Drosophila melanogaster: one gene and its partner. The protein of the gene in region 2 interacts with the protein of the main gene of each other region in a pairwise test. Each region holds a gene or a part of one and is shown on either strand. Other genes may lie near its edges.

The links.
Region 1: the proteins of CG5815 (region 2) and Pdk1 interact in a two-hybrid assay, tested with the Drosophila melanogaster proteins (one large-scale study listed by BioGRID).

The regions. Positions count from the first base shown.
Region 1 is NT_037436.4:127,764-132,723, reverse strand, and holds the start of Pdk1 (Phosphoinositide-dependent kinase 1), read right to left. Parts: upstream 3,275-4,960; 5' UTR 2,902-3,274; coding exon 2,836-2,901; intron 1,995-2,835; exon of another isoform or gene 1,153-1,994; intron 913-1,152; exon of another isoform or gene 194-912; intron 1-193.
Region 2 is NT_033777.3:27,110,558-27,115,716, reverse strand, and holds CG5815 (uncharacterized protein), read right to left. Parts: upstream 3,152-5,159; 5' UTR 3,090-3,151; coding exon 3,027-3,089; intron 2,887-3,026; coding exon 1,506-2,886; intron 1,444-1,505; coding exon 1,231-1,443; intron 1,174-1,230; coding exon 1,085-1,173; 3' UTR 591-1,084; downstream 1-590. Other genes in the region: CG6066 (uncharacterized protein), read left to right, coding at 1-486; gb (genderblind), read left to right, coding at 3,998-4,446, 5,070-5,159.

The DNA of each region.
Region 1 (4,960 bases), on a different chromosome or scaffold from region 2:
TGATGGAAAAAGCACGGCCTGCTTTCATCTACATTGGATTTTCACAGTATTCTTGTCTGTCCTCAAGCTTAGTGTAAAAAATTGCAGTTCCAAATAGTAAAAATGTGCTTATGAATGAAAAACGCACGAAGAGAGAGCGGGAGTGCGCTAAACAAGAATGCAAATGAAACGACTCTCGCACGCACACACTTACGTTTAGGTGCTGGGGCAGACGGGCGCTCTTTGTTTGTCTATGTTGTAATTTCGATTTGGGGTACAAATTCCAATGGGCACACGAATGAAGAAGAAGAGCCAGCCACCGCGTACACGCACACACTGTACAGAGCGAGCGCGCGTATTTTTTCGACTCTGCGCGTGCCTGTGTATATGTATGTGTGCGGCTTTAATTTTATTTAATTCTTAGCTTTGATTCTTAACATTCGTATTGTGCTTCCCTTGATTTGCACAATTATGAAACCGCCGCAGTATGTTTCTCGAAACAAATCACAAAAGTTCGCCAGAAACAACAATAATCAAGACAATAATTCCGACGCAGTAGGAAAATTTATAAGAAACGAGACGCTGTATGTGTCTGTTATTTTTTATGCCCTCTTATTTTTCTAGGAACTGGCTCACACTCATACGTTGTACTACATTAATTTGACTAATGAAAACAATCGGTTAAATACTTTGAACACAACACGGAGGGAGAATACACTTATTTTTATTCCGATTTAGATTTTATGTAATTTATTTGGCCTTTTGTGGAGTATTATTTAATCGCACCACTACAGCACTACATCACACGAACTTGGGGCGTCGTGTATTTGCCTGTGTATGTATATCAATGCCAGCGCGCTATGGGTGTGTGTGTGTGCGTAGTCGAACGCCGCGTGCACGAAGCGACTGGTTTGAAATCCAATAAGAAACTATGGTCGGGCGAGACTTTGACTTCCAAGCATTTGGCTCGAGCAGCGAAACCGATGGGAGACGAGCGCCACCCGAGAGAACTCTCTTTGGCGTTGCCGCCCCCGCCAAGCTAACCCTCGGCGCTCTCAGTTAAATGGGGCCAAAGCAGCGCAGTCGTGTCGCCGCTGGCGTCACAATTTTTTTTACAAGGCGAACAAGTTGCGCGCCACTTTTGAGAGCGTAATTGTTGCACTGTAATTGTTTGCCAGTGACTTTTTATAAATAAACACGACGGGGCAAAGCGAAAACAAGTTTCAGTCGAAATCCACACAACTACATAAGGCCAAAGAGAGCGCACGCTCTTTTTGAAGAGAGAGAGTGAGAGAGAGAGAGAGAGAGAGAGAGAGAGGGGAGACGACCGCATTCCTAACTGTAAACAAGCAAGAAGCGGAGACACTATAAAAGTGGGAAAGAGACAAGGCGACAGGCTAAGAATGCGGCGCTGCTGGAAAAACTCGTTTTTCCCGCTGGAAAAGGAAAATATGGATAAAAAAGAATTCGAGGAATTTTCGTGCGAAAGAGAAAGAGAAGTGGTGTAAAAATAAACAAGAATCCGAACCCGATTACGAATACATACACAGGGCAACGAAGGAAGAGAATTGGAATAGCTGAAAAACAGAGCGGACAAAACAAAATGCTTGAAAAGCGAAGGGGCAGCTCAAAGCGGACAAGCTGATACGTAGTAAAACATACCAACGACGGCAACTTCAAATGTAAATAAGTATATAAACGAGGTATGTAAGCGGATGAGTGTGTGCAACAACAACAGTAAACCTAATGACAACAAACCGAGCAACAGACATGCAAGTGAAAGGCCTTTGCGTTGTTTCCCATCCACTACTCAAGTTATTTGCAAAATAAAAACAGCTAAAAGAAGACAAAGTGATGAACTCGGATCGGGAGAGAGAGGGGCATAATTTTACTTTTGGCTGCTTGCAAGAGAAAATAAAATAAATAATTCATTTATTGGTTGCTGCTAATAGATAGCAATTAAAAGTAAAAGAAACCACAATAAATTGTTGTTTAGAAACCAGCTGGAATCATTGTGTTTTTTTGCTGTGAATTTTTGTTGTTGTTTTTAAAGTATCAAGCAATTTGCGAGGCAATGAACTGCAGTTGTTAAATAAATTTAGTCAACCCCTGCGGCTTCATTAAACTTTTTTATGCATTTTATTTTCGTTGTCGGGTGCCTGCAAAATAATTATACACATCCACTGCCTATTTATGTCGAGTAATATAAGCATCTGAAAATGTATTCATAATCAACTCCATCTAGATAGCTTTTAAAGTGGTTGTTATACAGACAGTCGTTGAATTATCTTATTTTATTGCCCACTTAGTGAGGAGTTTATGGCTTTGATCTTTATATATTATACCAGCATGTGTTGTCAATGGAAATTTTTTAGATGAAATGTACGGAAATATTTAAATTTATTGGTAACAAGAATTGCAAAAAGTAAAAATACTTTTTTTTTTTGCTATATAGCTCAAACATTAAATTTCACAGCTTTATGAGTATTTCATTATTTCATGTCAATAAATTATTTTGCAGCTTTTGTATTTTGTAAACAAAAATTTGTACAACCAATTCAATTTTTTTTTCCAAGAACAATTTTGTGTAATTTAACGATAAAATTGATGGGAGGTATTTTCTCGAAAGCATTACTTGTAGTTTGTAAAAAAAGTTTTACTAAATTATTTTAATTAAAAACAACTTTAACAAATTGTACTTTCGCATTACCCCATATCTATGCTATAAACTTATTTTTTAACACCTTAACAAGTCTCATAAGCCTCATAAGATATATTCACTTAATCAAAATTTAAATAAATATAAGTATATATGTATCAGGGCCAAACACCGCACCTTTTTAAGACACTATTTACCTTGATAGACTTTATTTTGCGCACAACGTAGTTGTTAATTTTGTTGGACCAGCTTTTACATTTCATGATATTTTTCGCGTTCTCCGCCGTTCTCGGGGAGGATGAAGAGGCAAAGACAACGGTAAACGGATTGCTTTCGTCACTTGAAGTTGCTGCCCTCACTCATTTCAGTTTCATTTCGTTTTACCGGTTTTTGTAATATTTTTTTATTTGCTTCACTTTGCGATATTTATTCACTTGAGTTTTCACCGCCCGGCGACAGTTGCAAAACCTTTGTGATTGCAAATGGTAATTATACGTATACACGAAGACTCGGGTCTTACTCGCATTTCTTTTTGGCGCGATAAAAGGAAAATTGGACGTTGTGGTTTTTCCAACAGGGCGTCAAATTTGTATCCGTGATTACGACCGAACCCGTCAAATTTCCGATTCGAAATGAGTCGAAAAGGCGAAAGAAAAGGCAAGGAGAGCGCGCTAAACTGGGAACGGCGGCATTGGGCCACAGTTACCAAATCGTGAGCGCGGAGAACTGGAAGAGAGATAGAGAGTTATGGGGTAAAAAAGAGTGCGGAGAAGTGTAAGAATTTTCATTTGAGTTTTAATCGACACATGAATAATGGGAAAATTATGTTATTTTTTATTAAGTTAGCTTTAAATTTATATTTTTGTATTCTTTTTTAAATAATTAGTTTTTAACGGGTTTTGTTTGTTTTTCTTTGATTTTGCGTATATATTGCATCTGTTGAAACACGTTATTGTCACCCTAATGTTGGATAGCTATTAAATTTGGGTATTTCTGGAACTTTCTTGAATTATTTGCAGGTCTTTCGAAAAAACAGTTATGCATATCCTATTCATTTCACCGATTTGCAAGTCACGGTTCCGTTATTGCCGCGAGTGGGCAAGCTATTTGCGTTTTCTTTTACATTTCGAATGCGCCGCCCATTAATTATTTATTTATTAATGAGTAAGTGACGCACTTGTTTTCATCCACTTATTTGTTGTTACTGCAACGAATCTTGCTTACATTTACATACATACATACATAGGTACATAATTCCATCAAGATCATGCATCAGTGCCACGCCCCCATCTATAAAATGAAATTGTGGACAACGTCGCTGTCGTAAACTTCCAAGGCAATTATGTATGTATGTATGTGTACAAATGTGCATTTTCTGGAATTTAAACTATTCCCGCTCTCTTCGCGCACGGATCGTTCGTTGATCCGCACTCTGGGTTCCACATTAGCATAAGTGTAAGGCCTTCTACACAAACGCGTTCCACAATTCATTCACATCGCCTGTTCCACAACTTTCCGGCGTTCCGTCACGTTCGCGCGCCTTTTCCACCCAGCGTGAAAAAATTCACTTGCTGCTCCCGCTCCCGCTCACGGTTTTATTCTCGTTTTTACGTTTTACTACGAAGCGAAAACAAAACAAAATTAAGGGGAAGCGGAAACTGCAGTTGCTTTGGCTTTGCTGACGTGGATGCCGACGCTTTCGTCATCAAGTTTTTCTCTCACTTTGTTTTTTTTTCTCTTTAAGAAATATTGTAAATATTAGTTCTGTTCCTGTTATGGTTTTTTATCTTGTTAAGAAATATTGTAAATATTAGTTCTATTCCTGTTATTTTCTATATTTGGTTGAGTTTCCATTTATGTATTATTTAAATTTCCTAGCTTAATTTGTTTAAAGACTTACTTGTGAATTGCTGCGTAGTTTAAATAACACAGTTTAATAAACACATTTAATATTCAAAGACCTTATCAATTAGCAATATAAGTAATATTTCTTTAGTTTTTGTGTACTTGTGATAAGCACTCATTCAAACTGAACGGCGTTTAGGCTCAAATAAATCTATGAAAATTACAATTCGTCTTCATCGAATGAACTTTGACTGCATATTTTAGAAATGGTCGCGAATTTTCTTCTTACCTATTTTATTTTATATAATAATCAAATTCAATTTAATTTGTCTCACCCTTAGCGAGTTCGGTGGCTTAGTTAAAATCGTTTTTATTTGGCCTCTGCTTTTAGCATTTTGTGGCTAATTTATTTCTTGCTTTCTGCTAAAAAATATTTGAAATTAGCATTTTTAATGGGCAGCAATCGAGGTTCGGCGA
Region 2 (5,159 bases):
AAGTCTAAAAAGAAGAAGAAGAAGCGTAAGTCAGAGGCGGAAAAGTCCAAGAAGAGCTCCTCCTCCAGTGCCAGCAAGTCGAAGAACAAGGAAAGTGCCTCGCACAACGACGAGGACGTTGGACCTTCGCTGCGACCCGGCGGTAGTCTTAATCAAAAGGACTTCGGCAAGGCCTTGCTGCCAGGAGAAGGTGCCGCCATGGCTGCCTACATTGCCGAGGGCAAGAGAATTCCTCGCCGTGGTGAAATCGGCCTAACATCCGATGAAATCGCCAATTTCGAGTCCGTGGGCTATGTGATGAGCGGCAGCAGGCATCGTCGCATGGAGGCCGTCCGTATCCGCAAGGAGAACCAGCTGTACTCCGCCGACGAGAAGCGAGCACTGGCCATGTTCAGCAAGGAGGAGCGACAGAAGCGCGAAAACAAGATTCTGTCGCAGTTTAAGGACATGATCCACTCAAAGCTGCAGGCCAAGGACAAGAAGTAAATCCTAAAGGATATTGTCTTCAAAATGGATTTACCATAAATGGCAAACGCACATCAGGATTTCAATTCAACGAATGTCGAAACTTCATGATTGTTTTAATTTTTGTATTTGTATAAAAAAAATAAACGACAATTGTAAGTTAAAGAGCTTCTTAGAGTAACTTAATAACTTTAATAAACGCAAGAAAGTTTTCATTTTCCATTATTTATAATAATTTTCCAAATGTTCCTATGGCAGCTACACGATGTAGTCGTCCGCACACAAAATTATATATTGTTTACATATGTACTTGTACATATACCAAATATGAGCCCGCTATAATCATTGTGGCATTAACCATGGATATTCGACTAAAATATGATATAAAAATAAGCTATTTTCAGCAAACCAATCTTCATCAGAATTCGCTTCTTCCTGTGCACTTCTCTGGTTTTCCTGTTCTCCTTTCCGTCAATCTACTCTGCATTTCATCTTATTGCATCGTAATACAACAAAAACTAATGAGTGGGCTTAAATTTTCGTTGCTAAGCCCAAGAGATAAATCAGGTGTACACTTTACATGGCGACGGATTAGCCCACGTCGAGATGAAATACCGTCCTAGGAGCGTGAGCTGATTTTCGCCACGAGCTTCTTTTGTTTCTTGTGCGCCGCCTCCATGCGCATGTCCTCGAGATCCTCTTGCATTCCTGCGAATATATAATCATTATTATGGGTTTTTATTGGTCATGCGGTTTGCTACGAACCCAGCTTCTTGCTGATGAACTCCTCGCGCTGCACTTGTGCAAAACTGGATTCCATGCCACGATCGTCGTCGTCTATTCCTTGATAACGACGCTTATCATACCCGAAAATGTCGCGGATGTGAGAAGATATATCCTCCTCACAGTCGCCATCATCTATGAAGTCATCCAGCTCAGAATCGTATTCATCCTCATCATCGTCGTCGTAAATGCGTCCTTTAAAAATAGAACAAAATATGAAATCTAAAATCATTTTTAATATCAAACTTGGTATTTACTTTTGGTGACTGGCGGCTCGTTAGGTTTTCGTCTCTTGACATCTGCGGGCGGGAATTGCCGCCCGCCCTGTGATCTCTGAACATCCGATGAAGGAGTCTGTCGCGTCTTTGCAGCTGCCGGAATTTTTCGGCGATCCAAGGTTGAGATGCTTGACTGATCCCTAGGTGGAAACTCCCTTACAGTTCCCTTTAGGGAAGTAGCTGCATAGGGGTTCTTGGATGGGACATCCCTGCTAGAGCTGGAGCTCGGTTTTCCAACCGCCGATGCAGTTGCGCCAGGTCTGGCAGTCAATTGAGCTGATTTAGTAGCGGGCCTTGAGCTCGAGACAGAACTGCGACTGGCGGAGGAATGGGAATTGGAACTGGATAAACTGGTGGAGCTCGCGCTGCTTTTCGTTGGCTGTGGGGCAGTTGGTTTTTTAAAACTATCACTTGGTGCATTGGCTGGCTTGGCTTGATTAAGCTTGGGGATGCGTCCGTTAGGCTCCATGCGATTGGGGATGGATTTCGGAGTCTCCTTGCCTTCACTTTCGCGCATCTTGAGACGCTGGGCGCGCTGCTCCTGTTGCCGCTGGCGCTCTTCCAACTCGCGTTTCTCACGGGCCGACAACAAACGCTCTGGTTCCTTTTTTTTCTCCACCTCAAAAACCACGGGCTCGTGCTGTTTCTTTTCAGCTAAGCGAAGCAAGGCTTGGAAGTCCATGGGCGGCGGCTGAGCAGGTCGTTTTATCTTCGCCCGGCGCTGCTCCTCCTCCTGCCGCTTTTTGCGCTCCTCCTCGAGCTTCTCTGCGTTCGGATCATAAAGAGTCTTGGAGGTACTGTAAGAACGGGCCACGGAGGACTCCTTCGACTTGGTAGCGCTGGATGGGAGTGTGCTTGTGCTGCTTTTCTGACGTGTGTTACCCTTGGCCTCCTCTCGTTCCCTGGTAATGGCCGCCTTCACGCGCTCCTTGGTCCCAGAGAGATCTTTTAGCGACTGTGGCCTGCTGGGCGTGAATCCCTTGTCTTCCTGTACATCGCGTACCTTTTCAATGTACTTATCGTAAAAGGCATTCGCTTCAGTGGACACGTAGCCGTAGTCATCGCCCTGACCCTCGCCCGCCTCGTGGCCGTCGATGGCCCCCTCGTAGTCTTTGGCATCCTCCAGCACTGATTTGTTGGCCGATTTGGTTACCTTTAGCATTTTACGTATCTTGTTCTTGGACTTTTCGTCTCTTTTGGCGAGCAGATCGTTGAGTTTCTGGCGCTCCAGCCGTTTCTTTTCCGCCTCCTCGGCCTCCTTCTTTTGGAGAAACTTCTGGATGTTGCTGGACAGCTGCTTGGACTCCTTGGACTGCTTCTTGGGGGGCGAATACTTGGTGCTGTAGTATTTCCCCTGCCCCTGGCGATAGAGGAGAAAAATTACAATGATCAGATCGAATATAAATTATTTTGGGTCACAAAGGGAATGCAGGCGCAACCGCGTTTTCCAAGCATAAAATCTCACGCGATGGACGAACTGGACATCTGCATGATACCCACCACCTCCTTGGTGACCGCATCACTATTTTTTTTCGCGTAGCGCAGCAGGTCCCCAAAATCCATTTTGTGATCTGTATTTCTCTGTCGATTTGCTTTTAGCTCATCTATTTGGATACTGATATCGATTGGCGATAGGCGATAGACGTGGTCTACTTTTCGTTTCGATAAGAAATCAGAGGAGAGCACGTGAGAGCACGTACGCTCACGCAGTAATTGTATATTAATTCTCGTTAATATTTCAATATATGGAATGTATAAAATTCAGTTTTCAATTTCATTTTACCCTTATGTACGGGACCGACAGCGGGAAAGTCGGCGGGGCCATATTGTATATATATTATTTTTGAATAAAAAATTGCACCCTGTAGCTCGCAAGAAAAACACCCCAGCATCAATTGATATTCTACAGTCAGCCGGGCGCTGGTCACACTGCTGCGATGCTCGAGAAAACGTGGGGTTGAAAAACCTTTGAGCAACGTTGTGCCAATTCCACAATTAAACCGCAGAGTTTGCACAATTTGGCGGTTACACCTCGATGTCTGCCCTTATTTACCAGACCCATTAACCGAATTCCGCGAGACAGAGTGTGAATTGTTCTTTTAAATCGCGAGTTTTATGTGCGATAGACTCAACTGCAGGGTGTGTTGCTGGTGCGAGCGAGACGGCAGCTAGCGAAGAGCCGACCAAAACAAACTAACGCTAGCCGGCGGAAAAGGAAGAAGAGGAAGAGCAGGAGTAGATAAGCCAAATACAATACAATTGAAAAACACATTAAGAAATATACACACACGCACATATGTACACGGAGTCACACCCACGAACACACTTGCCTCGTTTAATCAATTAACGGGACAACGGCCAAAGAAACAGTTACAGTTCGCTTTCAGACGTCGCGTGCGAAGATTGTGTCACAGAGCAGCGGGATAATAATACCATAGCCCTAGGACATAATACGTACATATATAGCCGCCATGCCCGCCGCCGATGAACTGCAGTCGCCGTCCAGCGAAATGGTCCTGCTGACCCCCAGCTCCGGCAATCCTCCCTCCAGCATTGCCCAACCAGCGGCTAATCCTGCCGAGAAAGCTCAGTGTCGCGAGGGATCCGCCGAGTCAGACAGCAGCAGGGTTGTGATCAAGAAGCAGCTGGGCCTCCTCGAAGGAGTGGCCATCATCCTGGGCATCATCTTCGGATCCGGTATCTTTGTTTCTCCGAAAGGCGTCATCCGGGAGGTGGAGTCCGTGGGCGCTTCGCTGGTCATCTGGGTTCTCTGCGGACTGCTGTCCATGATTGGTGCTCTTTGCTACGCGGAACTTGGTACTGCCATACCAAAATCTGGGGGGGATTACGCGTATATCTTCGAGGCCTACGGATCACTGCCGGCTTTCCTGTATCTCTGGGATGCCATGATGATATTCGTGTGAGTCTTACTGGTCAATATTGTTTTAATATTCGCGAATATTTCGCCGTTAAAGTTCCCTTATCACAGTTGGTTCGAAAAACATAAATACAGTATCAAATTCCTTTCGGTAATTGATTTCGAATTACTTTATTATCGCCAGAAGGAACCCATTAGAGTAAAAGTAATAGCTGACATTTTTTTTTCTTTTTTGCGTTTTTACGTTTTTTTTAACGAAATAACATATGTATGTAGATTGAATGAAGTGAAGTAGTCCTACAGAATCTGATTTTTAGACTGGGTCAAGTTTAATAACTTCTCAGATAAGACTAGAAGAATGGAATACTTCGGATTGGTGTGGATGCATCCGGTTTTTCAAGGTTAAGCCATGGGTTGTGTATTAGAGCATTAGAAAGTGAAACGAGCCTTATCATTTAATCTGCGCTATATAAGTTTATTTATTGAACAGTTCCGCGAGTTCTGCATTGAGCGTTTTATTGCCTGCTATATTTGTTGTTTAGGATCGGCGATAAGCGAAAATATCTGCTTTTCTACTTTTGCATGCGGACATTATCAGCAGGACATATGTCTGAATGCAGTCTGCAAAAAAATTTCCACTGATTGTGTGCTCTTATCTCTGACAGACCAACGACCAATGCCATTATGGGCCTGACCTTTGCCTCCTACGTGCTGGAACCCTTCTTCGGCGGAGCCTGTGAGATTCCCAAAATAGC